Sus scrofa: one gene and its partners. The protein of the gene in region 6 interacts with the protein of the main gene of each other region in a pairwise test. Links are inferred from orthologs where the notes say so. Each region holds a gene or a part of one and is shown on either strand. Other genes may lie near its edges.

Region 1 (4,123 bases), on a different chromosome or scaffold from region 6:
TATATAAATTATTTTACTAATATTTACCAAATAACCAGATGGTATTACAATCAAAGATCTGACTGAAATTCTTATCCCATGTATTTTACTAAATAATTTTGCATTATAATTCCAGGAAATACTGATTTTAAAAGTACATCAGTAGAAAATTTCTAACTTGAAAATTTTATTAAAAATACTTATTGTTGAGAGTTCCCACTGTGGCTCAGCGGGTTAAGAACATGACTAGTACCCAAAAGGATGTGGGTTCTATCCCTGCCTCGATGAGTGGGTTAAGATCACAGCGTAGGTCGCATATGCAGCTGTGGCATAGGCTGGCAGCTACAACTCTGGTTCAACTCTTAGCCTGGGAACTTCCATATACTGCAGGTACAGCCCTAAAAAAGAAACAAACAAACAAACAAACAAAAACTTATTAAGAATACTAGAAGTTCCCTGGTGGTGCAGTGGGTTAAGGACCTGGCGGTCACTGCTGTGACATGAGTTTAATCCCTGGTCCAAGAACTTCTGCATGCCACAGGTACAGACCAAAACAAACAAAAAACAAAAAACCTAAAACAAAATAATAGCAAATACTCCTATACAACTATCAGAGAGGTTCATTTAACTTTTCTTACCTGTAAAATAAGAATAATAATAGCATTCACCTCATAGGTTTGTTCTGAGGGTTTACATTACTTAATAAAACATTGGAACAGTACATGCTAAGTTTTATCTACTGTTATTTAGTAGAAGGGGTTGCTTTACCTCCTCCAAATTAAACAAGTCAAAAGAAAAAAAATTCGATGCCTCAAATATTAATGAGATAGTTTTCCCTGTAGCAAAAAAAAAGTATCCATCAGTACTACATTTAAACCACGGAAGACTCGATGACTAAGCAGAACTAAGAGAGAAACGAAACTAAAGCTTCCAACATTTTCCTTCCACCAATTCTGTCATCAAAGTTCAATACACACTGACCAAATCTATTACTTTGCCTCTGTTAAGAAAAAACTGAATCTCCAACACTGGATGTAACATAAGCTGAGTAACCGGTTAAGCCATGTTACACAGCAAGAGAGATTTTGCAGGTGTAATTAAAGGATACCAACCAGCTGATGTCGATAGGGATTGTCCTGGATTATCCGGTGGACCCAATGTAATTACACAAGCCCTTAATAAAGAAAGAAGCCAGAGAAGTGTGATAGAAGAGGAAATCAGAGATTTGAAGCACGAAAAGAATTTAACACACTACTGCTGGCATCTGAGATGGCGTGTAGGTGGGCAGACTAGGAAACTGTAACGAAATGAACTCTGGAGACAAACTCAAGTATCCTGGAAGTGGATTCTTCCCCAGAAAATACAGCCCAAACCGGATAACACCTGAATTTCAGCTTGTGACCCCCTAATCAGAGTACTTGGCCTGGTCTAAGATCTGTAAGAAAAATAAATGGGTGTAGTCAAAACATCAAGAGCTATGCCCTAAAAATATACATTTTCTATTTGTTAAATAAACTTCATTAAAGCTAAGAAAGGAAGAAGGTAGGGAGGGAGGGGAAGAGGAAGGAAAAAGGGAGGGAGGGAGGCAAAGAGGAAGAGAAAGAAGCAAACGCTGCACCCCTCTTGGTTTATATATGTAACTCCCACCTATTAACTTACACGTTGGTCAAAACCTCCAAACTGTTGTTTGTGCTCCGCCAAACTCAGGAAACATCAACAAGAGCAAAAGAAAAGGATACAGAGATGCCATGGCCACAAGCCTAATTTACGTCGTGAACAGGGAGCGACCCAATTTAAACCATAGGCTCAGGTAAAACCGATCATTCCTTGAAATAAACACAGGCACAGGACTGCGGTAATCAACCAGAAGCCATCCCGATGCTGCACGGGTGATCAAAACAATTCGGAAGACTTGCGTCTCCTAACGTCCAATGACTCGGCATCTCCAAAGAGCGTGACCAGAGTCCGCCAAGGGCCACGGAGGTCTGACACTAAGTCTAAAGGACCCCGATCATATAAAGTCCCAGGAAGGATACGCGCGCGGGGAGGTGACCCGGCCCCGGCCGGGAGGTCGCAGATGAGAAGGTGGCCCCAGGGCTGTCGGACGCCCAGGGGTCCCGCAGGAAGGGCCGCAAACCCCAACCACCGCTCACCCCCGGGCGTCGCGCGGGGCGACTTCCCGCACCCAGCCCGCCGCTGCCGCGGTGAGAACCAGAGACGGGGCTGCGCGGAGCCGGTCCCACCCGTCCAACTCCGAATGGGGACAGCGCAGCCCAAGTAATCCCCCGCAGTCGCGCGCAGCAGCCCACTCCCCCGACTCACCCCGGGGCTGGCGTAGTAGGCGTCGCGGGCGCTCGGCGCAGGAGGCTGTTCGTCCGTCACCGCCTGTCGTCCGCGTTCCCGCCGGGCGCGCGCACAGCTACGGGAAGCAGAAGGGTCAAGCCGCCTTTTCCCGGTTCGCGTGCGGCCGTCCACGACGGCCCTGCCTCCGCGTCGGGGGCGTGCTCGCGGATCTGCTGGGCGCTGGGGCTTCCTGCTGCCCGCCTCCGCCCGGCCGGCTTCTACACGGCCTCTGGGGAGTCAGGCCGCGACCGGCTTGCTGTGGGACGAGTAGTCTGGAGGGGACGCAGTGTGTGCTTCAGATTCCCGGGCGGAGCTGGCCGTCTCTGCCGCACCTTTGGGGCTCGGGGGCCGGGGATGGGGAAGAGGAGGAGACCTTCTGCTCCCCTCCGGCGTGTCCGCAAGTCTCGGAGGGAAGGCGCTCAGGACGGGTGCGGACCCGGCAGTGGCCGAGGAGGGTCTACGTGGCCAGGGCCACCGCCTCTGTCCTGCCCCGATCGAAGGGGTCAGGGCCAGGTGTTCGAGGTTTGCTTCCTTGTTTGTCTTGGATCAGAGTCCAGACAGTCCGTGCTCGGCCTGGAAAGAGCCTGGCGTGGAGCTCTGCCTTCTTGGCCACACCTTGGGTCAGTGGGGAAATGCGATCCCACTCTGCCTGGTCTAACTTGGACTTCAGCCCCTGGAGCTCACCCGCCAATTTTGTGCGGTGTTGTTTTCTAAGTTAGGTATTTCCCTGGGGAACGTGTAGAGCACAACTGTGAGCACATTAGGTATTCAGAAGTAACCGACTTTTCAGTCAAGGGCCCATATCGATTGCCAGTTTGACCTACTGGCTGCAAGAAACATCAGCGAGAAATACAAATAGAGTTATGTAAGCTACCTTAGGCAGCTAGTACACTTTGGTTTCGCTTAGAGACCTCAAAGTTCTCATCTTCTTACTTGTCTTCCTTGATTTTTATCCAGGTTTCCTTTGAAAGACATGTTTTGGTGTCCCTGCTCTGTGTTTCTCCTCTGTAACTCTGGGTTTTATTGTTTTTTAAATTGAGGCATTCAGGAGTTCCTGTCCAGGCGCAGCGGAAACGAATCCGACTAGGAACCATGAGTTGCAGGTTGGATCCTTGGCCTCTCTCAGTGCATTAAGGATCCAGCATTGCTGTGAGCTGTGGTGTAGAACCCAGACGTGGCTGGGATCTGGCGTGGCTGTGGCTCTGGCATAGGCTGGCAGCAACAGCTCGATTAGACCCCCAGCCTGGGAACCTCCATATGCCTCAGGTGCAGCCTTAAAAAGACAAAAAAAAAAAAGAGGGATTCATTACACATCATATACTATCCAACTCATTCTGGTCCAGTGTTACATGTCTCTCCTTTTCATTTTCCAAGTTCACTTCACTCTTCAGGATCCAATTTCTGTAGCTGTCTTTAACCCTTGGCATGTGCTAGCTGGGATGTGTACTTACCTTTCTGTGCATTGTTGTTTTTGTCTATCCAACTCCATTTTAAATTGAAAAGAGGGGGAGTTCCTGTTGTGGCTCAGGGGGCTACACACCAGACAAGCATCCATGAGGACGAGGTTCGATCCCACATTGCCGTGGCTGTGGCCAGGCCAGTAGCTGTAGTTCCAATTCAACCCGTAGCCTGGGAACTTCCATATGCCTTGGGTGCGGCCCTTAAAAAAAATCAAATACATATACAGAAAAGAGGGACTTGTCATATAGTCCCCAATGCCTAGTTTATTGCTTTGCATGAAGTAGACACTCTCTGAATACTAGGTTTGAAATGATAGGTTATTGGTAAAGTGAGGAGCAAC
Region 2 (4,004 bases), on a different chromosome or scaffold from region 6:
TGCATGACTGCCAGCTGAGCAGCATTGGGAGGGCATCCAGGGGGAGGAGGCTGAAAGGAAAAGACAAGGTTGATTGGGCACCGGGCAGCTGATACGAGAGAAGTGGACAAAGATGAAAGAGGACCGGTCAGGAAGATGGCAACGTGCTACTTGAGCCAGCAGTGTGGGTGAAGCAGGTCTATATTCTCTGTGAGCCCCAAGACATAAACAGAAAACAGATCCTACCCCTCATTTAAAGGGTCCCAGATCCAAGATAAAGCCTAGGGATCCCTCCTGGGTATGCACAGTCCAGACCCATAAGCATTTGCAGGGTGGAAAATCCCTCTGACTCCCATTCCAAAAAATGGGGAGGGGTTACCAGGTCCATGGCCCTACACCACAGAGTTCCTCAACAGTTTTCACATGGATAATCTGAAGGCTCTACCTGATGACAGCATTCTCACCTCATTGTTAGCATATGGTTACTGCGTGAATGGCCCTAGCAAGGACCATTTGGGCTCTAGTTACCATACATAGGGAAACTAAGTGGGAGACATAGTAAAAGCCCTAGTAAAGTCTTCCTAAAGGGAACTTAACAGGGATACGCATTCTACTTTTTAATCATCATGGCTCCTGATAAAATGCTGTGCAAATATTAAGTAAATGCTTATGGAATGAATGAGGAGTGTTACTAGACCAGTACCAAAGTGAACTGGAAAAGCAGCAGGCAGGACTCCTAAGACAGAAACAAAGGAATCTGGTTAACTCAGACCTCAGTGAATATGCCAGAGGCTACTGACTTCCCACAGTTCTCCTGCCCCCTCAAGTGAATTCTGCCTGATTACTGGACGTCAGTGGTTGCACCAATACCAGCAACTACTGCCCAGGGATGATGAAAGGATGACTATGTAGTCATTTCAGAAAGTTAATATACACAAGGGCTGAGGTTTTTGTGATAAAGGCATACTCACAGGAATGTTGCCAGCAGTAGCGCCAGCTCCAAATCTGGCACCTGTATCATACCCTCCTTCCACCAGCACTGTTGAACCAGGTGGATAGATGGGACCAACTGGATAATAAGCCATGGGGATTGTGGAACCTAAAGGTCCAACAGCCACAGACTGGGCCATGGGAAGGTACAGTGAGGCGCCAGGAAATGCAGCTGACATGGTGGGGACTGTGGCAGCCCCTGGGTGCACAAAGCTCGGACGATAGAGCTAGAAGAGGCAGAAGAGAGGGCAACACGTTACTTTATGACATTCTTATTTCAGATCTCTTTCATGAGGCAATTCTTAATTATTGTGCAGATTACACTCTGAGTTACACAAGTTGCCTTTCCACCAGCCACTCAATATCCTCCTGGATCACTTCCTGCTAGAAATAATGTTGGGCTCAAAGAACGCTAACTCATCTTCTCAACTTCAGCCTGTGCCAAAGAGCAAAATAATCAGATAATGCCTTCTCAACCCCAACTGAAATTGCTGAACTATAAAGAGGTTTTAGATTATCCACGTGAGCTCTCTCTCCTGTTTGTGGAGAGTAAATACATGTGTGGAGCCAGACTTAGCTAAAGACTGAAAATGTGATCCAAGAGTACTCAGTTCAAGTCTAGTAAACTGGAAGCACCTCTGAATAGGCAGGTGGAGCATCAGTATAGGGTGGAGCCTGAGGAAGATGCAAGGTCTGAGGGTACACAGGATTCCCGGGAGGCTGCACCGGGTAGGTTGGCTGCGTTGGATATTGACCTGGAAGACAGGAAAAAAAACAAAAAACAAAAAAAAGAATGTTGCCTACCACACAGAGCAACCAAAATGGGGCAGAGCATACTGGGTAGCTAACCTCACTGAGCCAGCAAGAGGTTTGCAAAAACACTGTCCTAGAGGGCCTGATTCCTGGAACCAAGAAAATAAACACTCTTTGTACCCTTATAACTGAGATGCTGGATTCTAACTGGGCTGGAAGGTCTCTTTACAGTAGCACACTGGTACAAGGGGAAAGTCTATCTAGGCCCAAGATCCTTCCAGAATGGGCATGTCTGCGCACCCATTCCTGTCGATGTTTTAAGTGTGTGCGTCCTCTCTGCTCTGGTGGTCCCCCAGGGCCTGGCTGAAACTGGCCTAGAGCTCGTGAGTAACGGTGTTTGTAGTCCTCCACCTCACAGGTTCCTACTCAAGGTCGACTTCCAAATAAAAAGAGTGGTGAAAGTGAGCCTTGGGATGGGAGAGGAGGTGGAGGCGAATGTCCTAACACAGGAACTGGGAGACGTTCAGGCGGCCAGCGAGGTTAAGGGGAAAGAGACCCTTCGGCCTGCCCGGCCCGCCCACCAGGGCCGGCAATTCACTAGTTAAGCCCTGGGGCCTGCCTGTGGTTCCGGAGCGCGGCGCCCCGCCTCCGCAGGCTCTCCATTGGCCTACCCAAATATCAGCTCTAGCTCCCCATTTGCGCCTGCAGATGCCCATCACGACAAGCCTTCTCGCCCCCCCCCCCGCTCCAACGGCCCCCCACTCGAGCCCGGAGCTCCAAACTGCGCCACAGAGTTTAAGGGGGAAAAGGCCAGGAGGGGGCGAGCAGCCGTAGTTCGGGGATGACGAAGGCGTCTGGCGCAACCCCCGGCACTACAGCTGGCCCAGGAGCGCGGCGCAACTAGCCCCAGGCCTGGCTTTTGATGACCCTTGGTCCCGGGCCCGCTCTCTCCGGGCCAGCACTATTCTCCCCGATGGCCTCAGCTACCCCCTGTCCTTGCCTTTGCTGTTCATGGTGGCTGCGGGTCCGGTTCAGCTCGGCGTCGCGGACGGTTATTTTTTTCGTCCTCTTCCTGTTCGTAGTCACTTCCGTGTCACGTGACGATTCGTCCGCCTAGCGTCACCCGACGCCCGAATGCCGCTGCCACCGGAAACCCCGCCCCTTCGCCAGGTCTCCAGTAGCTGGAGGAAGGACCCGCGTGATCCGCCCACTCACTTTGGCCCCGCCCACTGGGTCGAGCCCTCCAACCCCCACCCTTGTCCCTTGATTGGAAGAAAACAAAGTACAGGTATTGTCTCAAAACAGTATCTTTTCTCTCTTGGTCGCTCTGAGGCAGTACCTTCACACTGCTCCCCGAAACCCTTCCCACCTACGCACTGCAACTCAAGGTCACCTTACTTTGAGAGTCTTTCCACAGGGGGCACAGTGCTACGAATTTCTCTAACTGCCTGAAATACGCTCCTCAAACCCTTGATTTATCCCGTGTTCCCCTCCCATTAAACCCAACTTAAGCCTCAACTCCATAGAGGTTTATTTTGCTGGTCGTATTCACATCTGTCCTTTTCTGACTTAGACCATCACTCGAATTTTCTCAGCCTGTCCATTCTACCGACAGGCTTCTGTGTTTATTTCAGTGTCGCTTTCTCACTAAAAGGAAGGGTATGCTGTGCTGTGAACCCCCCCCCCCCCCACACACACTACAGCTAACACTGAAACTGGCATTCTTGTGGTCCCCAAGGAGTGCCTGTGGCCCTGCCCTTCCTTTGGTACCTGTTACAGGCAACTGTGTGATACCTCATGTATATTTTCCTTTGTGTATCTCCTAAATTAATTGTTCTTGGAGTTCTCTTGTGGCTCAGTGGTCTAAGGACCTGGCGTTGTCGCTGCTGTGGCTCTGGTTATAGCTATGGCAAGGGTTTGACCCCTGGCGTGGGAATTTCTGCATTCCTAGCTGAGGCAAAACAAAACAAAACAAAACAAAACAAAAACCTTGTTCTTAAGGGCAAAGATGGCATCCTTTCAGGCAGCAAATAAGTTTTTCCTTCCATTCTTCGTTTTAAAATATCTGCTGGTGTTGCTCTGTGCAAGTAGAGATGGAGCTGGACAAGACAGGCAAACATTGTTTTCTTATGGAATTTACATTCTATACTTCAGTAAGAACATTAGAAAAGCATCTGAAAAGGGAAAACTTTGGAAAGAAAAGCCCTCAGTAAACCGTAGAAGCCTGATAAATATTTGCTGATGAATGATTTAAACCACTGATTTCAGCTCAGCAATCCCTT
Region 3 (4,078 bases), on a different chromosome or scaffold from region 6:
GACCCTTAACCCACTGAATGAGGCCAGGGTTCAAACCTGCAACCTCATGGACACTAGTCAGGTTCTTAACCCTCTGAGCCACAACGGGAACTCAACATCATCCTTTTAAAAGGCAGAGTTGAAGAGAAAAGGTGAAACCCACATCCTTCCCTGTCTCTCTGCTGTAGCCCATCTCCCGTTGTTCCAAGAAGCCCAGGGCCACAGGGCGCACCTCCACCCCCGGCCCCTGCATGCACTTTGTTACCTACCGGATGATGCTGAGGAACTGGGTCATGGTCAGCTCCTGGGGGACCAGGAACTTGGTCTTGTCCAGCAGGGGCAGGAATTTCTCCCTGGGGTAGCGCTCCACTATCACCTGTCAAGAGTTTCAACCTGAATCTCTCCCGAAGCAAATGCCCAAGAATGTGCCTCAGTCTCCGTGTCTTAGAAACTTGGAATAGAGAGAAGGGGGTCACTGCCTGGGTTTGGTCTTGTCTTTTTTTTCTTTTGATTTTTAGGGCTGCACTTGAAGCATATGGAAGTTCCCAGGCTAGGGGTCCAGTCGGAGCTGCAGCTGCTGGCCTACACCACAGCCATAGCCACATGGGATCCAAGACTCGTCTACAACCTACACCACAGCTCACGGCAATGCGGCATCCCTGGGCCACTGAGTGAGGCCAGGGGTCGAACCCACATCCTCATGGTTACCAGCTGGGCTCGTGATTGCTGAGCCACAACAGCAGCTCCGGGTTTTGTTTTCTCAAAGAAGGGGACATCACAGGCCCGGCTGAGGAGCCACAGTGGAGTCTTACCGGGATCTTGCCAGGGAACTTCATCCGGATTCCAGCCACTTCCTCTCTTCTGGTTGCTGTGAACACGTAAGATGAAATGAACATATCAGCCTGGAGCAGAAGTCCGTGTCCTCGTCTTTCCCTGTCTCGAGGGCCCAAACCCAGACAAATACTCTGAGAACTTTACCTAAGCTCTTCCTCTGCTTGAAGGGTCTGAGGCTTGGGCTTTTCTGGGGAGTCTGCATTTTGCTCAACAGCTGTGTCTGTGTCTGAATTGAAAAAAAAGAAAAAAAAAAAGAGTACCTAACTCATTCCTCCAGCTGTTTCCAAACTGCCTGCGGGAGCCCAAAGGACGCTTTTATGTGGGACTGTGTGACATCAGCCTTCTCCAGCCCTCCCCTCCTGGGCAGGAGGGGGTCATTTTTCAGAATGGAAATGAAACAGCCACCTGCTTGCTGGTTAGAGAAAGTCACTTTGCTCACTACCGTTTAAAATGTTGTCTTTGCTAAAGAAATTGAGATTTACAATGTAGGGAGTTTCCGTTGTGGCTCAGTGGTAACAAACCCGAACTAACATCCATGAGGACACAGATTCAACCCCTGGCCCCGCTCAGCGGGTTAAGGATCCTGAGTTGTCGTGAGCTGTGGTGTAGGTGGCAGACAAGGCTCAGATCTCATGTTGCTGTGGCTGTGGTGTAGGCTGGCAGCTACAACTCCAATTCAACCCCCAGCCTGGGAACCTCAGGTGCAGCCCTAAAAAGCAAGAGAAAGAAAGAATATTCCAGAAAGGCTGAGTAACTTGTCCAGATAAAGAGGTAAAATTAGGGTTAAAATCTAGGTGTGGGAGTTCCAGTTGTGGTGCAGCAGAAACAAATCCGACTAGAAACCATAAGGTTGCGGGTTCTATCCCTGGCCTCCCTCAGTGGGTTAAGGATCTGGCGTTGCCGTGAGCTGTGGTGTAGGTCGCAGATGCTGCTCGGATCTGGTGTTGCTGTGGCTGTGGTGTAGGCTGGCAGCTATAGCTCCAATTAGACCCCTAACCTGGGAACCTCCATATGCCAAAGATGCAGCCCTAAAAAGGACAAAAAAAAAAAAAAAATCTAGGCATGTATCAAAGTAGTGTTATACTCTGCAGCTTTCCAGCATATTTTGGTCATTTTTTACAGGTCTAGGAATGTGGGTAGAACACTTTTTATCAAACTCAGGATATTTCTGTATTTCTTTATTGTCTTTTTAGGGCCGAACCCACGGCATATAGAGGTTCCCAGATGCTAGGGGTCAAATCGGAGCTACAGCTGCCAGCCTACACCACAGCTCACAGCAATGCCAGATCCGAGCAGTGTCTGTGACCTACACCACAGCTCTCGGCAACGCCAGATCCTTAACCCACTGAGGGAGGCCAGGGATGGAACCTGCATCCTCATGCATGCTAGTCCGATTCGCTTCCACTGAGCCATGAGGGGAACGCCTTAATGACGGTTTTAGTGACCCCGTTTCCCACTTGATGCCAAGCACCTCCTTACCTCACACCCAGGAGCTCGGCGGTCCCTCCGTGTTATTCAGATCCATCACGTCCTGAGAATAAAAAGGACCATTTGCTTCTGCTCGATTGTCTCTGGAGGTACCATGACCTTTACTGGTCATCCCTGGCTCCCTTCTATGCAGGACACTGAGAAGTCTTCAGCGTAGTGATGATGACACAGGGGAAGGTGACCAAACATTCTCCAGTTTGCTGAGGGACAGAAAGAAAAGCAGTAGTTTACTCTGTTTTTTACACAACTAGTGAAAAATCTTCCCTATTAAAAAAAAAAACTTGCCTTTACCCCTGCCTACGAAGCTAGGACAATAGTTGCCGAGTTCACCCTGAGGCTTTGAGTCTGCAGGGAGGAGCATGAACTTGGCCTCAGTAGTTAGATTGGTTTCTTAGAAGACCTTTAGCTCCTAGGGCCACACCTCCATGGATGAGGTCCATCTTTGATGCTGAGGCTCAGTGGAGAAGGTTGGGGCGCTGACCTGAGGTGCTAGAATGCAGTGGGGGCCTCACAACTTTCCACAGGTCATGATGGCCCTGGGACCCCTTCCTCTTCCCTTTTTTGACCTCCTCTCCTTCCTTCCTGTCTCTACCCATTATCATGTGACCAATTTCTTGAGCTCTGGGCTTCGAGATATACATATATTTATGTATTTTGCTTTCTAGGGCTGTACCTGCAGCATACGGAGGTTCCTAAGCAGGGTGCGAATCGGATCTACAGCCCCTGGCCTACGCCACAGCCACAGCAATGCCAGATCCGAGCCATGTCTGCGACCTACACCACAGCTCATGGCAACGCCGGATCCTTAACCCATTGAGCAAGGCTGAGGATCGAACCCAACTCCTCATGGATACTAGTTGGGTTCTTAACTTGCTGAGCCACAAGGGGCACTTCCTCAAAATTTCTTTTTTATTGCTCAAGAAGAAAGAATCCTACATATTTCATATTAACTTTGTGATATTTTCCTTTCGTGGCTATTTATATTTTGAAAAAAAAAAGTAATCATTACTACCATTTAATTGTTCTGTAGTGAGGACAGGCTATGCTATGCTGCAATAAGAAATACACCCTTGGAGTTCCTGTCGTGGCGCAGTGGTTAATGAATCTGACTAGGAACCATGAGGTTGCAGGTTCGGTCCCTGCCCTTGCTCAGTGGGTTAATGATCCGGCGTTGCCGTGAGCTGTGGTGTAGGTTGCAGACGCGGCTGTGGCTCTGGCGTAGGCCGGCGGCTACAGCTCCGATTCGACCCCTAGCCTGGGAACCTCCATATGCTGTGGGAGCGGCCCAAGAAATAGCAAAAAAGACAAAAAAAAAAAAAAAAAAAAAAGAAATATACCCTTAAATGTAACAGCTACACATAAAGAGTTTGACTTTCATCCACATCGCAGTCCAGTACATGTAGGAGGCTCCCTGTTTGGCTCTGTTCCAGGAGAAATTTAAGGGCATTCTCTGCTTTACACCTGCAGGTTCTGTCACCTCAAAGGCCTTCATTTCCACCAGCTCAGATGGGAAAACAGGTGGAAAAGATACACTTACACTTGGCTTTCTCAGACTTAAAGTGGCACCTTTGAGGGTTCACCCACCTTCCACAGAGGAAAATGAATCACATGATCCTACCTAGAGAGGGGTCTCTATCATTAGCACTCATTTTCCCACCACAATGATTATATTCCAAGCAACTGCTATGTTCTTTATTGATTTTACTTTTTTTCCTCTTTTTAGGGCCATGCCTACAGCATACGGAAGTGCCCAGGCTAGGGGTCGAATTGGAGCTGC
Region 4 (3,957 bases), on a different chromosome or scaffold from region 6:
CTTGCCACAGTGGACTAAAGCTGGGCTGTCAACTACCTACAAGAAGGGAATTGTAAAGGCTCTGCCTAGATTCAGGCCCCAGGTTATCCCAAAGATTGCTTCCAGGCAGCACAACAGCAAGAGCAAAGGGGGGGTTCCTCTTACAGTCAGAGTAAGTGGTACCAAGGGAGGTGAAAGGCTGTAAAGAGACCTCAGAGCCCTGTGCTGGCCGGCAGCCATTCCCATGTACTTGAGGATCAGGCCGCTGCTCTCAGTGCACTCTCACCACGGCCAGAGCTGAGCCTGGAGAGCGAGCAAGCAGGCAGGGTGGTTGATTGAAACTGAGCCTCAGCAGGGCCCACAAGCTCCTGGGGAAGAACTTATTTCATGGATCATTTGGAGAAAACCTCATTTCAGGCTTCAGTTCTAAAAATGGCTAAAGCCAAAATAAGTCCTAACTGTTTTAAAGGATTCTTGGGCGCCTGAGGCTGAATCTCATCTTTTGTTTGTTTGTTTGTTTGTTTGAAGTCCAGGCCTTACTCTATTGTCTTAACCCAAAGTATACACCCATCTACTGCAACTCTTCCTTGAACTCCTGAGGTCAGGGAACACAAAATCCTTATTTCCAGTCAAGACCCCTAAGAGCTTTCAGTCCTCCAAAGTTTTGAGTTCTGCAAGCAACCAAGCAGATGGCCAACACAGTAAACACCTCTCACCTGGACTGTGGGACTGTCTTATCCACAAACAGGAAGATTGCCTTTTCAGAAGGAAGCTGGATCCTTTTCCTGATAATCCACATGAACTGAGCCACAGTGATGTCAGATGGAACCAGGTATTTCCGTTTGTCAATGTCAACAATCTGAGAGCCTGAGACTTTTTCCACGATCACCTGCAAAAGCAGAGAAAGGTCGGGACTGGATTTCTAGACTGAGGCTCTGGCCCAGCATTACTGGAGAGCTGATGAACAATGTGTGGTCAGGGAGGTGGGTGGGAAACTGTGAAACATGAGAAAATACGTTCGACTTAAAAAAACCACACACTTAAGAATTGATATATATGTGTTACGGGGAAAGGTAAGTGCTTTTCTGTGGTCAATTACTTTCTTTCTCATCCCTGATCTCAGCATGCATGAAATAAACACAGCCCTCACAAAAAAGCTTTGCAACATCTTGTCTGGGCAGACTGGAGACTATCTGGTGAGAGCTTCCTCTACAGCCTGTTACTTCAGGACCCCAAAGTGAACCCACACTACAGGGGAATAAGATCCCAAGGAACACTGGAAATGAGAATGGACGGACTAATGGGATGGACTGGCAATCCCAACCAGCCAAGAACCAAGCTCTTCATTTGGCCTGTTGCTTCTCTCTGAACTACGTTTCAAATTTACCCCTCTTGCTCTCTCCCCAGAGGAACTGTTTACAAGCCATGAGCTACAATAACAGACCCGGATGTCCTTTAAAAACCAATCAGGGAGTTTCCATCGTGGCACAGTGGAAACAACCCGACTAGGAACAACGAGGTTTCAGGTTCGATCCCTGGCCTTGCTCAGCAGGTCAAGGATCCAGCGTTGCCATGAGTTGTGGTGTAGGTCACAGTCACGGCTCAGATCTGGAGTTGCTGTGACTGTGGTGTAGGCCAGCAGCAACAGCTCTGATTGGACCCCTAGCCTGGGAACCTCCATATGCCATGGGCGCAGCACTAAAAAGACAAAAAACAAAAAGGACTAAAGAAACTATGTGCCCTAACACGGAAGAAATATAGGATACGTTTTATTGATTACAAGGAAGGCACTGGACGGGGCTCCTCAGATTTTTTTTGGTCAGGAAAGGATGACAGGGTCAGGGTGAGAAAAGGGAAGGAGAAGTCAGGTAAAGCCGGAGGCTCAAAGTTAAAGATGAATGTCCTAAGGCTAAAGTATCCCTTCCAAAACCAAAGTGAAAGACTCCCTCCACCACTATTCCCCAAAGTGGCTGTGACCTGTTGCCCTGTCCTAGAACATCGTTTCTTACATAATTGGCGAGGGAGCCCTGAGGCTGCAGACAGCTCGCTGGCCTAGTTCCGGAGATTCAGCACTGAGGCATCCTGAACAGCACCAACTCAAGCCCCTCAAGCCGCCGCCCGAGGGTCCCTAAGCCGTCAGGCCCCGTCAACTACTCTAACCGGACTGGAATCTAAACTTATCAACTGCTGAATGGCCAGGGACCCTATCATGGGTCCAAGACGGCAGGGGTGACAGCGAGGTGAGGGGGCGGGGAGTTCACTCACCGGAACCCGGTCGGGATATTTCGCTCGGATCTTCGCAGATTCCACGCATCTGTGTTCTATGAGAAAAACACACCCGGCTGACGGTCGCGCCGGCCCACCGGCCTCCGGGTCCCTCGCCCCTCCTCCACCCCACCCCACCCCCGTGACCTGTGCACGCCCCCGGCCCTCGTTCGGGTGTCCCAGCGACCTCGGTCCTCGTTCCCCTGGCTCTGGCGGGGCCCGCGGAGGGCGGCGAGGAATCCATAGTTAGCCGCCCGGGGTGCTGGGGCCTCGGCGACCAGAGCTCAGAGGGCGGCATCCGCCCCACCCGGCCCAGCCTAGGGCGGCCCGAGTGGGGGAGGGGGCCCACCCGCCGCCCCAGCCCCCACGGGCAGGCCAAACGCCGAGCGCTTACCCAGCGAGTGGTCCTCCTTGAACATCCACTTCATGGCGACAGCGGGGAAAGGACGCAGCCGGCTCTCGGAGCCGCGGAGCTCAGCGCACCAACCACAACAACAACGACGGCGGCGGCGGCGGCGGTGACTACACGGCAGGCGGGACTTCCGGCCGCTGGAGCCTAGCAACCGGCCGGGGGCGGGGCTTCCGGCGCCGCTTCTCAGGGCATCGGGCCAGGAGGCGTGGGGCAAGGAAGGAGTGGGTACCGCGAGAGGCCGCGGGAGGAGTTGCCGTGGTGACGTTGACGATTGGGGTGTCTGTAAGGGAAGTTGATGACTGGGAAGGGGATATTCAGGAATTGGTAACAAGAGCGGGGTTTCGGTGGACGTTGGTAACAGGAAGGGATGTGTGGAGGTCTGGCTGATACGACAGGGCTCTTGGGAGTGTTAGAGAAGTCCGACCGGGGCGTTGGTGACAAGAGGGGAATTTTAGAATATCAATGACTGAAGAGGGGTCTTTGGTGGCTGCTGATGGCAGGGGGTCTGTTTAGGGCATTGACAGTCTGAGGGGTATTGTGTAGAGTGGTAACGGGTTGGGCTAAATTGAGAGGTTTTTTGTTTATTTTTTTGGCCACGCCCACGGCATGCGGAAGTTCCCAGCCAAGGCCAGGGATCCCACCTGAGCCACCGCAGCGACAGCGCCGGATCCCTAACCCCTAGGCCACCAGGAAATTCCCAGGTTGGGGGCTCAATCTGGAGTGTATGACTAGTTTGAGGAAACTGTATGGGGAGGGATACTGATGACAACCCCGGGGGGTTCATTATTGGGGACAGCCATAACAGGTTGCATTGGACCTGGAAATGGAGTTTAAACAAATCCCATTTCCTTGCTTTATTCACGAATAGTGTCTGAATAAACATTTAAGAAAAGGTATCATAAATATGCATTTGAGGGGCATAACATCACGCTGATCACAAAGAAACCCCTTAATCTTAACTGGTGGAGTAGTCAGAGGTGACAGACTCAGAAAATTCCTCTGACAGCTAGGCATGAAGCGGGTTTCTTCAGCACTCAGCTTTGGGGTTCAACAGTTACAGCCTGGGTTGTGTGAGTGTCTCCTGCCTGAGCGTCCGCCTTCAGGTTCTCCAGGAACGTCATTCCTTTCTTCTTCCAAGAGTCATGGGACGGTCTGCCCTGGGTCATCATCTGTTTATGAGCTGGTGCATATCTGACAAGATATTCACTTAATTGGGCACATGATCCTCACCACATGCTTGTGAGTCTGATGCATCCAAAAGGCCTGCATGTGTGAACATCGTCATTCACAATTTCCTCAGT
Region 5 (4,265 bases), on a different chromosome or scaffold from region 6:
CCACTGCCCCCTCGTCCTCACGGATGCGCCCCAGCTTCTGCGATGGCTGTGGCTGCTGCTGGGTGGGCAGTGGCCGGCGAGGCCTTGGCAGGGACTCTGAGGGCGTCACTGGCGAGAGCTGCGGGGCAGAATCTCAGGACTGGCCCTGACCGCCCTGCCCGCATGCCCCGCCCGCCCTGGGGGGCTGGACTCACCGAGGAAGGGAAGTACTTGTACGATTCCTGTGCCGGCAGGAGGAAGGCCCAGGTCAGCCCCAGGTGGATGGAGGGTGGCCCTGCCCTTACCCTTTCCACAAGTGCTTGACCCCACCAACTCCCTAAACACACCTGCCCCCCCATCACTAGGACATGCTCAGCCCTGCCCCACCTGCCTTGACATGCTTGACCACCTGGAAACATCTGGTCCTACCCTGCCCAGCTGAGGTTGGGGGCTCCCCTGCTAGCCCAGCACACCTGGTTGCACCCCATTCATCAGGACAGGCCGGGCTCCTCCCCAGCTATCTGTATACAATTATGCCCCACCCCACCCAGCCCACCCGCCCTAGCCTTAATCATCTCTTTCTGAAGACAATGGCCCCCCCAGACCCTGCCCAGCCCTGCCCATGCTCACCCGGGCCCGAAGCTGGCACTGACGCAGCCGGCACTTCTGCCGGATCTTGTTGGGACCCCCGAACTTTTTCATGTCTCGGCAGAAGTCACAGTGGCCACAGTCCTCAGTGCGCCGGCAGGCCTCACACTCGCCACACATGCGGGCTGACCGTTTGATCTGCTGTTGTTGCTGCTGCTGCTGCTGCTGCTGGTGATGCTAGGACGAGGTGCCCAGAACAGAAATTAGGAACCAGAGCAGGGCCTGAGATAGGATCCCCTCACCTATTCCAGACATCAAAGCCACTCACCTGGCTGGGTGGGGCCACCAGGGGCTGTGGAGAGGATTTGTGGGGCGAGGCGGAGCCCCGGGCAAGCATGGCCCCAACCCCTGTCCCCGTCCCTGCCCGGCGCTGCAGGTCCGCTTCCGGGACAGGCCTCTTGCGCCCTCCACCCTCGTCCCGGGGCTCACTGCCATCTCGCTCGTTACTGTCCCGCTCCCGTGACTTCTTGTGCCGATAGCGGATCTCCAGCTTGGGATCCTTCTCTGTGGGACAGAGGATACAGCCAGCATGTGTTGGCACTGGGAGATATGGATGGTCCCAGAAGTCTTTCTTCCCCTTCTCTCCTCTTCTGTCCCACCCACCTGCTCTGTCTTCATACCCCCAGAAGAGCTGCCCCTGCCAGTGGGACTTTCTATCACAGCTCACAATGAAGCCTCCGTTCCAGCTCAGCACAACCAATAATCACTCTGTCCCCAGACACATATCACCGCTCCCCAGGACTCACCTTCCCATAAAGGCTCCTCCTCCTCCCTCGAAGCCCCACTTGCCTGCCCTGTCCATTCCACTCCCTCACCTCGGCACTCGCGACAATACCACTCCCGGATGGCCTTGGCCATCTTCTCAGTGATCCGGATGCAGTCCCCATGAAACCACTCATTGCAGTTGTCACACCCGCTGCAGAAAACAGGGTGAGTGATGGAGATGTGAGGGGTCCTGCCCCATCGGCCTCCCCGCAACCTGGCCAGGTGTCAATCCTGCCCACCTCTCCCCCAGCTCACATCATGAAGCAGTTGATGTCTGGTTTGCGGCAGATGCAGTAGATGGGCGCATTCTCCCCATTCTCTGACTTGCTGTCCTCCCCAGCATCTGGAGGTTCTGGGTCTGAAGCATCCCCCTCCTGTGGGATATCCCCACCATGGCTTCTTAGAGAACCCCCATCATGGCACCTCATCCCTCCAGTACAGTTCCATCAAGGTTCACCACAGACCCCAACACTCTGCCAATAGTCTCATCATGGCTCCTCATCAACCTCTCCACCATAGTCCCCACAGATCACCCCCATGACTCACTTCTGACACCCACTACTCTGCCCCAGACTTCCAATCACTCATCCCACTGATAGCCCATTACTCCACTCTCCCACTCTTGACGGCTAGTTACAAACAACCTACCACTCACCATATTTTGCCCTCCGACATGGCTCCCCACAAATCCCCACCACAGGGTCTCACAGACACCATATGATTTATTCCTCAGCCTTCCCACCTGGGTTCCCCTCAGATGCCCGGTTATTAACCTCGGAGACAGCCCCGCCCCCTGGGTCCCTCCACACGGACTCACACTGCTCACTCCAGACTGCCCAAGACAACTCTTCGCAAGCTTATCATCACTCCGCACAAAGAATCCCCCATCCGGACCCCCAAGGAACTACCACCACGGATCCCCCCTAAACTTCCATTACGGACCCTCATCACAGAACTCCCATGTGGCTTACGCATAAATAAAAAATCTGACCATCAGCCCCCCATCATTCTACCCACAGACTCCTGTTAAGGCTTACCACGGGCCCCCTCCATTCTGCCCAGAGACTCTTCTTACGGTTCACCAAAGACCCCCTATGCGTTTGCCCATGGAACCCGCCGCTTCCAACCCCACTGACCTCGACCGCCGACCCATCCTGGGACCTCGCACTCACCATTTCTCCGCTCCTGGCGAAGCCCCTCACAAACCCCGCCAGAGACCCGCGAACCTACACAGACCGCTCGGCGGCGTCCGCGGCCGTTGCAAAGGCGCCCACAAGCACTTCCGCTTTTAGACGCGCCTCCCAAGCAAGGTACTCCTATTGCGCAGGCCCAGTGCGTCCGCTCCGCGACAAACAAGCAAGTAGCACGCCTAAAAGCCCGGACTGTCTCTCAGGCGCCGCCATCTTGACTACTGAGACCGTACGGTGGCCGCGTCCATAAGTTCGCAAGCAACATGGCCACGCCTATATTTCGCTCTACCGAGGGCGCCGCCACCTTGTCTGCGGGTCCTGTCCGTACAGGACTGTTTGTACGGCCCAGACGTTTAGGCAATATGGTCGCGCCTACTGAGCGATTTCCAAGCAGACGCCGTCATCTTGAAATCCGATTCCGTAAGGTGGCAGAGTCCCTCCGTTCATAGGCAACACATGGCAGCGTCCTAAACGGCTTCTGAGAGGGCGCCGCCATCTTGGCGGTCGATTACGATGCCAGCAGCTGGTACTGTCTAGATGTTCGCAGGCGAAGGGGCAGCTTTGGCAACGTTACCCGATTGAGACGCTCTTATTCAGTCATTTTTCCCTTCCACATGTATTTTAATAATGGGCTCCAGGCATGCTGTGCTTTGCTTTGGGAAGGAAATCAGTCCTGTTGTTACGCCTCCCATATCACCTCTGATGGAAGAAAATTTCGCATATTGGGGACTAATGAAGCCAGCCGGGCTTATACCTGATTTGTCCTGAACTTTATGTGAACTAGAACAGTCAAACATACCTTGTATTTTGCTTTAACCATTATATAAAGAATGTCCACTTTTACAGTAGGGAGAAATGCCTCCCTTCCTATGACACCAATGCTAGATCTTCTTGGAGATTAAAGTACCTGTTCCAGATGTCAAGGTAACGCTCGCTGTCTGTCTATATGCTAATTTGTAACTAGGGTCTGTTGAAACCTTGAAGAAAGGTACCCCTGTCGTGTTTGATGTATTCTCTTTGTTCTGACAGGGTATGAAACTGTGCTGAAAACCATGCTTCTCTGGAGCCCTTACTTCCTTGGTGGAGGCTGCACTCCTGCCCCAGTCCGCAGCTTGGCTCAAATAAAACTCTCTTCAGCGTTCCCTGCTGGCTCAGAGGGTTAAGGATCTGGTGTTGTCACAGCAGCTGCCCTGAGTCGCTGTAGCGGCACAGATTCACTCCCTGGCCAGGGAACTTCCACGTGCCACAATCATAACAACAGCTCTTCTGTTCCTTAGTATAGTTTATTGATTATCTCTGTTGACTCTTCCCACCACTCTTTCCAGCTGTCACTCCTCCTATCAGATGTTAGCCAGGCTTAGCAAGATTAAGCCTCTGGGCCTCTGCAGCAGCCCTCATCCCTCAGAATTAGTCCAGAGAAACCACAGACTGGCAGTAAATGATGATGACCTGACCATGTGTGGTGAGAATGGATGGACCAAAAATTTTAAAGGCTTCATCAAGTCTTCCCCTGACCCTGTGTGACCAGACACAATGAGTTTGTCACTTGGGGTGCTTCACTGATGAACACACCAAGAACTTTCAGTTAAACCGGAAGCATTTATTTCTTATTACTTATGACAAGTAAGGAGACAGGAGATAGCCCTCAAAGCTCTGTCTCCATGGGGGATTTTTAAGCCTAGG
Region 6 (4,215 bases):
TAAAAGTTAATAAAACCAAAGTAGACAAATAAAGATTAGTAATAAAAACTCAGTACGACTTCCTTCAATAGAAACATATTACACACAGTAGCTGACTAACTTAACGGAAGTTTTTCGGTTAAAAACTTATGAACTTTTGGAGTTCCCTGGTGGCTCAAGAGGTTAAGAACCCATCACTGCCACTGCTGTGGTTCAGGCTTGATCCCTGGCATAGAAGCATCCGGGAGAGGCCAAAGAGGGGGGATGAACTTTTAAATTTATTTCCAAACTTTAGTCCTAGAGGAAACTGAACATCAGGAAGGAAAAAATAAGTCTAATATTCTAATAGTTTCCAATTATTCACACTTCAGCTCAAAAAAAAGGCTATCAGCTGGTTTACAAACCAAAAAATTCTTATCAACAATCTTTCTGGGAGGCAGAAACAAAAGAATCAGTCTGTTGATGTGCACTCTTACAGTCTTCCCTATCTCCAAAACTCTTCACAGCTGAATAGCAGGCTATTCTGCCCAGGTGTCACCACTTATATTTAATTTTTATATTGTTTTAAAAGTTGGTTTCTAAAAAGCCATGGTCTTGGCCCATATATATTAGAGGGGAGAGAATCTTTATCTTCTCGTAGGAGTTTGTATGGGGCAAAATAAACTTTAAAAAGCCAAGAGTGATACTGAGTAGTATCCAAATTCCAAAAGGATGCAATTCAATAAACATCACATGTAAGATAATTCCTCCAAAGCAGTAAAAAAGGAGCATGGTTGCAATCTTTCATAAATATATATCATTAAAAAGGGTGAAACTACACAACCTAGAATAGATTTACAAGGATATCCTGCTGAATAGCATTGAGAACTATGTCTAGATACTCATGTTGCAACAGAAGAAAGAGTGGGGGAAAAACTGTAATTGCAATGTATACATGTAAGGATAACCTGACCCCTTTGCTGTACAGTGGGGAAAAAAAAAAAAATTAAAAAAAAAAAAAGGGTGAAACTTAGAATTCCAAAATATCTGTTATTTTGTTAAGGAAAAGGCATTTACAGTTTAATTCTACACAAACGGCTGCAGCCATTATTGTCAACAGGAGTGTGCAATTTAAAAATGTGATGACTAAAAAATAAAAATAGGATATTCTTTGACGTTACAAAAAAAAAAACCCCAAAGCTAGTAAGTTATTTCTAATGTATCCTTTTATTTATTTATTTATTTATTTATTTTGGTCTTTTTAGGGCCGCACCAGCGACATATGGAGATTGCCAGACTAGCAGTCCAATCCGAGCTGTAGCTGCTGGCCTACACCACAGTCACAGCAAGGTCAGATCCGAGCCGCGTCTGCAACCTACACCACAGCTCACAGCAACGCTGATCCTTAACCCACTGAGAGAGGCCAGGGATCGAACCCGCACCCTCACGGTTCCTACTTGGATTCGCCAACCACTAAACCATGACGGTAACTCCTAAGTGGATCCTTGATAAGCACGAAAAGAAAGACTGGCCTCAGCCCTCTTCTATGCGGGAAATAGCACTTTAAGGTTAATTAGCTCACTTCTTGGATTAACATGTTACTCAAATGATCTCTCTAAATGCTTTTGGAGTTGAGCTCCAAAATTACAATTAGCAATTGTTCCTGCATCTTGTAAATATTCCACAATTAGCGGAATGCAGAGTTGAAAAGTTACGATTTTCCCAAGCCTGACTTTTAACAGCAATTCCTAACTACTTTCCGAAACTTAAAAACCTAGCGTACGTAGAAAGTCAAACGTCACAGCGTTCCCAAATTATCAATCAGGTAATAAATGTTTATCAGAACATGCACGCACATACTAATCTCTTAATAAAGATTCCCCGAAACGACGAACGCCTGCCGGGACTTGTACACAACCTGCGGAGCTCCGGGGTGCCGGAGGGAGGGAGAGTTGTGAAATCAGGAAAAGTTGCCTAAGCAAAGACAAACGTGGCTCTCCTCCCAAGATTTTAAAACATCCCTTCGAGAACTCGGCGTAGAGCCACTTATAAACAAAAGAAAAGTGTTTGCTAATTCAGCGGCCCAGGTGAAGTCGGTGATCCAACCAAAACAGCTAACCCAGCCCGCGGCCCCGAGACGTAGGCGGCGCACCGAGTCCCCGCCTCCTAATCTGCCGGCGACTCAAACCAAAACACTTGGGTTTCACCCTTCACGGGCAAGCCCGAGCGTCCCACCCGAGGCGACCTAGATGTTTTCCCAAGTTTATCTACGTCGACAGCACACACGCTGCCCTCAAAACACTCACCCCGCAGCTGAGCCTCGGGCGAGGCAGGGTCCTCTCCGGGGGGCCCACCGCGTCACTCGCCCCCAGCCAAAGGGTCCACGCCCCACACAGGTCCCCCAAATTGCGAAGGCCTAGCCCAGGGCCTCCCCGCCTTGTGAGGCGGCCACCGGTCGCTTTTTCCAACTCCACTGCTAACCGAAGTGGCCCACACCCCCGTCACAATCGCAGCCCGGGAAGGAAGGCACTGTCACTAGGCAGCTTCGTCACCAGGGCGACCATTCCCGAGATCAGCCAGGCCCCTAGTCTCTACTGAGGGGGGGAGTCTCTCGAACCCCCAAAGAGCTCCAGCGGGGGTCCGCCCCGCGCCAGGCGGTGGGGCAGGCAGGGGAAAGAGCTTACCGAGTGGGCAGCTCCTGGGCAGATAAGGGTGTTAAAAAGACTTCTGAGCCTGAGCCGCCATCAGCCCCGATCCTCTTCCGCCACCAAAGCCTCCTTCTACCGACCGGCTACACCTCCTCCCCGGGCCTAAAGCCGGAGCACGTCACTTCCGCCCAGGGACACGCCCCTTCCGCCGCCGCCGCCGCAGCCACGCGAGGTCAGCTGGAACACCAACCAGGTTGTTCTGGACGTTAAATCACCTTGGCAGTTAGTTGCCTGTGGCCGGGCCACGGGCAATTCCTTACCGGCTTTCACCGTCGGTTCGGCTGTTACTCCTCTTCCGCCCTGCCGGTTTTGCTCAGAGACCTGGCCGTAAACAAACAGGGTCCTTTGGGCTTTTTAATTATTACTTTGACCGGAAATTCAAGGAATTTACCAGTTAAGTGGAAAGGATAGTGTTTAAACTGGCACCAGGTCATTGTCTGGATCTTTAAAAATCTGTCCAAGCGAATCTCTTTTGTGGATCAGAAAGTGAAGAACCAAAGAAGCGAAAGAGCAACCGCGTGGCTGGGGCTGCAATCCATCACTCTCTTCAAACTCCTGGCCCAGCCCAGTGCTTGCTTAACAATGAGATTTTATTCCTTGTGAAACCTCGGTTTCCCTTAGGAGTTTGCAATTCCAGTGCTTTATGATTCTATTTCCTCTTGCTCGTTCTACCCGCATTTCTTCGAGTTAACTGCTTTTGTTATCCGTTATTTTGCGTGCATGAATTTATTTAGTCCTGTATCCTTTATTCAGTTATAATTTCTAAAGTCATTTGTTATGACTTCCTAGAGTAGGGGTTCAGTTTAAATCATAACTCCGCGGGGGCAAGTGTGGTCTCTTACAATCATGTACTTGTGTTGCCGTCAAACCCTGATAAAATTTGCAACATCACAGGTGAAGAAAGGATAATAAATTAGATCAGGTCAAATGTTGAAGCATCTTCTAAATTCAAAACGTACAAAAATCTTCTTCAATATACTTTACTTCCAACATATTTAATATTACAATGCCTTTGATAATAAGGGTTCTCAATATCTGCTAACTGATTTGTTTCCTATATATTGAAATATTTGAATTTGGTATTGTTCTGTTTATCATACTTGATAGATTTCAGAAGAACCTTTATAGAACATTTAGTACCAATTTCCTTAGATTACAGATAGTGTGATAATATCAGTAATCACCTGGCTTTACTGGTAGCAACCTTCCAGTGGTTGTCTGTGTCTCTTAAGCAATGTAAATACGGCAGTGAACCCTTATAAGCAGAATTTTTCAGAAGTGCTACTCTTCCCAGCAACTACAGCCAACTAATCTATGACAATGGAGGCAAGAATATACAATGGAGAAAAGACAGCCTGTTCAATAAGTGGTGCTGGGAAAACTGGACAGCCACGTGGAAAAGAATGAAATTAGAGCACTCCCTAACATCATACACAAAAAGAAACTCCAAATGGATTAAAGACCTAGATATAAGACCAGACGCTATAAAACTCTTAGAGGAAAACATAGGCCAAACACTCTCGAAATAAACGACAGCAACATCTTCTCA
Region 7 (4,075 bases), on a different chromosome or scaffold from region 6:
CAAATCTGCCTCTCTCTGAGCAGCCAGGAACAGGGCGCGCTCCTTCTGGAAAGCTGCCAGCTCTTCTGAGCTGAGGCTGCGGGTACAGAAAAACAGACGCTACGTGAGGGCCTGGCACTGGTGGGGGGCTCACAGGTGCCCACGGCACCTTCTCAGAACCCCTCCTCCCCCGCTGGACTCCCCAGCCTCCAGGGCTCTGCCCATCTGTTTCCTCCGCCAGGAATGCCACCCCCCCATCGCCTCTGCCTATTATTCCCTTCTTGAAGCCCTACTCAACCTCCGAGACCTCGGCTACATCCCAGGCCAAATTAACCCACTTTTCCTCTGTGCCCCAAAGATTCTGTACAAAGAGGTCGTTAGCTGGTGCCTGTATGTCTCTCTTAGAGCAGGGATCACATGCACTCACCTCTGTACAAGTGAAGACCTGAGCAAAGTCAAGTCCATCCCTGTCCCATGCTTAACCCCACTCCTCTTGGGAAACACCAGCAGCAAGAGGCCAGCGAAGGGCTGGGTGCTGCCTCTGCTGTCCACGCCGGATGCTCTCCCACCTGACACCTCACTTCAAAAAAAACAATTCCTGAGGTCATCGGAAGCCCCATGAGGGGACCCCTCCTGGCCTTGGGGTCAAGTCTGAATTCAAGAACACACTGGTCCCTGTCTGCATCCCCTCTTCATACTATTTCCCACTCCGCCTCTAGTAGCACACACCCGGGTCACACCGAACTTCTTTGCGTCTCTCTCTTCCACCTTACATTTTTTCCACTTCTTGGAATGCTTGCCCCCACTCCTTGACCTCGCTTCCCAGGGCTCTACTTAGATGTCAAGGACTCTGCAAAGCTTTCACTGACACACCAGGCAAAATCAGGAACCCTAATCCCTGTACTCAAGACACCTGTAGTTCCTTTTAGCCACACCGACCATCCAACAATATAATTCTCCTTTTATGAATTCGCCTCCATCTCTGGGCTGTGAGCTCCTTAGAAGCCAGACCCAGCATGGCTACCTCCTTCCCAGCTGCACCCAATGTCCAGGACAATATCTGACGAATATTTAATAAATACATTCCAGTGAATGAGGCCCTGCACTCCCAAGAATCTAAGCTCTCTTAAGTCAGGAGCTGACTCTCCCACTCAGTGGGTCCTCATCTTTGTCCCAGGGTCAAGAACTTTCCAGACCCTCCCCTGGACACTCACTCTTTCACCACACGAATGCCCAGGGAACGGGCAGAGCCAATGATGGAGCGAACAACAGAGGACAGCGGCACGTCCTGCAGGGCGAAGGCGTCATCCTGAGCTTTGACGCGGGCGATCTCGTACACGTGCTTCAGTGTCACCAGGCCTGCCACCTCTTTTCCTGGGAGGAAAGAACAAGCTGTTCTTCAGAGGTCACTGCTTCCTTCCAGAGCCTGCAGAATCCCCATGCCCACCCTGCCCCTTACCTGTGTGCCGCGCCCCCTTCTCAATCCCGGCAGCAGCCTTCAGGAAGTAGGAAACAGTGGGTTGACCAATTTTGATTTCAAATGTCCTGTCGGGCTTCACAGACAAAAGAAATATGAGACTACTTCTTTCTCTCTCCCCCCCCACCCCACCCCTGCTGCCTCTGCCTGGGGAACTTTTAACTTCCTGTCCCTCCTTTTCCCCAAATCACCTTCCTATGATGCCCATTTAACTGACCACAAAACCACAGAAAAATTCACCTGCCATAAACATCCCTGTCACCTCTCTTCCAGACCCAACTCTGCTCTGGAAGCCCCAGCAAGCTGGAGGGGCAAAGTTAAGATCTGCAATATGGCAGTAGATGGGGGGCTCCGGAAAGATACGGACTAGTCTCCACCGTGTAAATGGGGACAGTGGGGCCCAGGAACAGGATGACACGTGCCCCAAGTTAGAAGCAGAGTAGCAACCCCAAGCGACCAGCTTCAGGACCTGGGGAGAAGAGGGAGAATGAGAAGGAAACTGGGGGTCAGCGTCCCAACTCCGCACCTTCACAAAAATCTTGGTGGGCAGAGGAATGCCTTCTTTGATGTCCTTTGTCTTTTCGTTGAACTCCTTACAGAACTGGTTGATGGAAACGCCTCGCTGTGACGGAGGCACAGGGGTTAGCGTGGGGGCGCAGGGAAGCTTCCTACCACCCAGGAGGCTCTCTGTCCGTTCTCTCCTCCGTCTTCACTTCTCTAAGTTCCCATCCTTTTTTCTCTACCCAGATTCAACGAGCATTTTCTGTGCCAGGTGATCTGTATGCTTCCACGTCTGTCTAGGCTCACAACAGCTCGTCGAGGAAGGACTGAAGAAGCTCTGTGACCAACCCAAAGCCATACTGCGTGTGGACAAGCAGATCCATGTTCTAAACCGAGGCCGCCCTGGCTCCAGCCCGCACCCTCCACGCGCGTACTAGCGGCCACCCGACCCTGGCCTCCCACTCCAGGTTCCCGCCGCGGCTGCACCTGACCCAGGATGGGGCCGAGTGGGGGTCCGGGCCTGGCCTGGCCTGCCCGCACGATGGCCCGGATCATGCCGCTGGCCTCGGGCTTCTTGAGGGCCCGAGTGGCCCGGCTGAGCTTCGACATGGTGCGGAGTTCCTGGCCTTAATTCATCGCAGGTCCACGGCAAGAGCGAAGGCTCCGGGCGCCGCCAGCTTGGGTTAAAGGTCAAGGGTCCTCACACTAGGATAGGACAAATGAAGCCAACAAGTAGCGTTGATTCCGTCCTTCCGCTCTCCCACTAATGACAAAGGGAATGAGATGAAGCGGGAAAAACCTTTAACGTGCCATCTTAAATTGAGGAAGGACCCGAATGGCTCGGATACGCACGTTCCTCCTGGAGAGCACACAGGCACTGCTTCAGACACCTAAGCGAAAAGAGGCCCTCAGCCGCCGCCCTGTCTTATGGGTATGGTAGTTTTGCCCTCTTAGGAAAACCCCACAGAGTGGCGTGTCCTGGAGCGCCATCTGCTGGACACGGAGATAATCTCTGGGTTTGAAAATAACCTAGAGCTCCTTTTTCAGGCGAGGGAATTTCTTCATTTTATGAGCCCGTGTCTTCACCTGCTGTTGAAAAGAAATATTAAGAGTATGGACTTGGAAGCAAATTGCCTGCTTGCTTCTCTTGCTTGGCTGTGAACTTGACCAAGTTATTTATGCTCAGTTTCCTCCTCTGTAAAATGGGAATTATAGAGAGTGGACTTGTGATTGCCGGGGGGGGGGGGGGGGGGGGGGGGGGGGGGTTGGGTTGGTGGATGCAAGCTGTTTAGAACAGATAATGATGGGATACTGCTTTACAGCACAGGGAACTGTGTCCAGTCTCTTAGGTTAGAACATGGTGGAAAATAGAATTAAAAAAAAAAAAAGAATGTTTATATATGTAGGACTGGGTCATTTTATGTATATCAGAAATTGAAGGAACAGGAGTTCCTTTCATGGCTCAGTAGTTAACGAACCCGACTAGGATCCATGAGGATGCGGGTTCAATCCCTGGCTTTCTCTGTGGGCTAAGGATCTGGCGTTGCCATGAGCCATGGTGTAGGTTGAAGACGTGGCTCATATCCCGTGTCGCTGTGGCTGTGGTGTAGGCTGGTGGCTACAGCTCCAATTTGACCCCTAGCCTGGGAACCTCCATATGCTGTGGGTGCAGCCCTCTAAAAAAAAAAAAGAAAAAGAAATTGAAGGAACATTGTGAATCAACTATACTTTTGTGTGTGTGTGTGTGTGTGTGTGTGTGTGTGTGTGTGTGTGTGTGTCTTTTTAGGGCTGCACCCTCGGTATATGGAAGTTCCCAAGCTAGGAGTCGACTTAGCCGGTCTGTGACCTACGCCACAGCTCACGGCAACATTGGAACCTTAACCAACTGAGGGAGGCCAAGGATGGACCTTGCATCCTCACAGATACTAGTCAGGTTCATTACCACTGAGCCATACTTTAATTTAAAAAATTTTTTTTAAATAAACAAAATGGGAATTATAACATGTGGCCCCCTATACCCTGGGGCTAGTTGTGAGCGTTAAGTTAGCAAAGTGCTTTAGGATAGTATCTGTCACCTAGTCAACGTTTGCTATCACTGTACAATAAGGACAAAACCTT

What was found.
Region 1: the proteins of TAX1BP1 (region 6) and LGALS8 interact in binary tests that used the Homo sapiens proteins (3 or more experiments, as listed by UniProt). The link is inferred for Sus scrofa from reciprocal best matches to the Homo sapiens genes TAX1BP1 and LGALS8.
Region 2: the proteins of TAX1BP1 (region 6) and DAZAP2 interact in binary tests that used the Homo sapiens proteins (3 or more experiments, as listed by UniProt). The two-hybrid records come from large-scale screens. The link is inferred for Sus scrofa from reciprocal best matches to the Homo sapiens genes TAX1BP1 and DAZAP2.
Region 3: the proteins of TAX1BP1 (region 6) and MAP1LC3C interact in binary tests that used the Homo sapiens proteins (3 or more experiments, as listed by UniProt). The link is inferred for Sus scrofa from reciprocal best matches to the Homo sapiens genes TAX1BP1 and MAP1LC3C.
Region 4: the proteins of TAX1BP1 (region 6) and GABARAPL2 interact in binary tests that used the Homo sapiens proteins (3 or more experiments, as listed by UniProt). The link is inferred for Sus scrofa from reciprocal best matches to the Homo sapiens genes TAX1BP1 and GABARAPL2.
Region 5: the proteins of TAX1BP1 (region 6) and CXXC1 interact in binary tests that used the Homo sapiens proteins (3 or more experiments, as listed by UniProt). The two-hybrid records come from large-scale screens. The link is inferred for Sus scrofa from reciprocal best matches to the Homo sapiens genes TAX1BP1 and CXXC1.
Region 7: the proteins of TAX1BP1 (region 6) and MRPL11 interact in binary tests that used the Homo sapiens proteins (3 or more experiments, as listed by UniProt). The two-hybrid records come from large-scale screens. The link is inferred for Sus scrofa from reciprocal best matches to the Homo sapiens genes TAX1BP1 and MRPL11.

What each region holds. Positions count from the first base shown.
Region 1 is NC_010456.5:54,889,246-54,893,368, forward strand, and holds the start of LGALS8 (galectin-8), read right to left. Parts: upstream 2,801-4,123; 5' UTR 2,302-2,800; exon of another isoform or gene 1,639-2,301; intron 1,154-1,638; 5' UTR 1,092-1,153; intron 1-1,091.
Region 2 is NW_018085018.1:160,763-164,766, forward strand, and holds the start of DAZAP2 (DAZ-associated protein 2), read right to left. Parts: upstream 2,801-4,004; 5' UTR 2,736-2,800; coding exon 2,723-2,735; intron 1,725-2,722; coding exon 1,606-1,724; intron 1,197-1,605; coding exon 951-1,196; intron 51-950; coding exon 1-50. UniProt on the Homo sapiens protein: In unstressed cells, promotes SIAH1-mediated polyubiquitination and degradation of the serine/threonine-protein kinase HIPK2, probably by acting as a loading factor that potentiates complex formation between HIPK2 and ubiquitin ligase SIAH1.
Region 3 is NC_010452.4:15,369,904-15,373,981, reverse strand, and holds the start of MAP1LC3C (microtubule-associated proteins 1A/1B light chain 3C), read right to left. Parts: upstream 2,801-4,078; 5' UTR 2,293-2,800; intron 1,356-2,292; exon of another isoform or gene 1,040-1,355; 5' UTR 1,016-1,039; coding exon 958-1,015; intron 848-957; coding exon 792-847; intron 356-791; coding exon 249-355; intron 1-248.
Region 4 is NC_010448.4:12,130,187-12,134,143, forward strand, and holds the start of GABARAPL2 (gamma-aminobutyric acid receptor-associated protein-like 2), read right to left. Parts: upstream 2,801-3,957; 5' UTR 2,673-2,800; coding exon 2,639-2,672; intron 2,301-2,638; coding exon 2,245-2,300; intron 869-2,244; coding exon 696-868; intron 1-695. UniProt on the Homo sapiens protein: Ubiquitin-like modifier involved in intra-Golgi traffic. Modulates intra-Golgi transport through coupling between NSF activity and SNAREs activation. It first stimulates the ATPase activity of NSF which in turn stimulates the association with GOSR1.
Region 5 is NC_010443.5:99,937,326-99,941,590, forward strand, and holds the start of CXXC1 (CXXC-type zinc finger protein 1), read right to left. Parts: upstream 2,801-4,265; 5' UTR 2,568-2,800; coding exon 2,565-2,567; intron 1,767-2,564; coding exon 1,648-1,766; intron 1,544-1,647; coding exon 1,443-1,543; intron 1,132-1,442; coding exon 896-1,131; intron 805-895; coding exon 610-804; intron 222-609; coding exon 195-221; intron 119-194; coding exon 1-118. UniProt on the Homo sapiens protein: Transcriptional activator that exhibits a unique DNA binding specificity for CpG unmethylated motifs with a preference for CpGG.
Region 6 is NC_010460.4:44,907,466-44,911,680, forward strand, and holds the start of TAX1BP1 (tax1-binding protein 1), read right to left. Parts: upstream 2,801-4,215; 5' UTR 2,643-2,800; intron 1-2,642.
Region 7 is NC_010444.4:5,977,216-5,981,290, reverse strand, and holds the start of MRPL11 (39S ribosomal protein L11, mitochondrial), read right to left. Parts: upstream 2,801-4,075; 5' UTR 2,567-2,800; coding exon 2,444-2,566; intron 2,079-2,443; coding exon 1,983-2,078; coding exon of another isoform or gene 1,697-1,982; intron 1,533-1,696; coding exon 1,439-1,532; exon of another isoform or gene 1,438-1,438; intron 1,354-1,437; coding exon 1,194-1,353; intron 77-1,193; coding exon 1-76.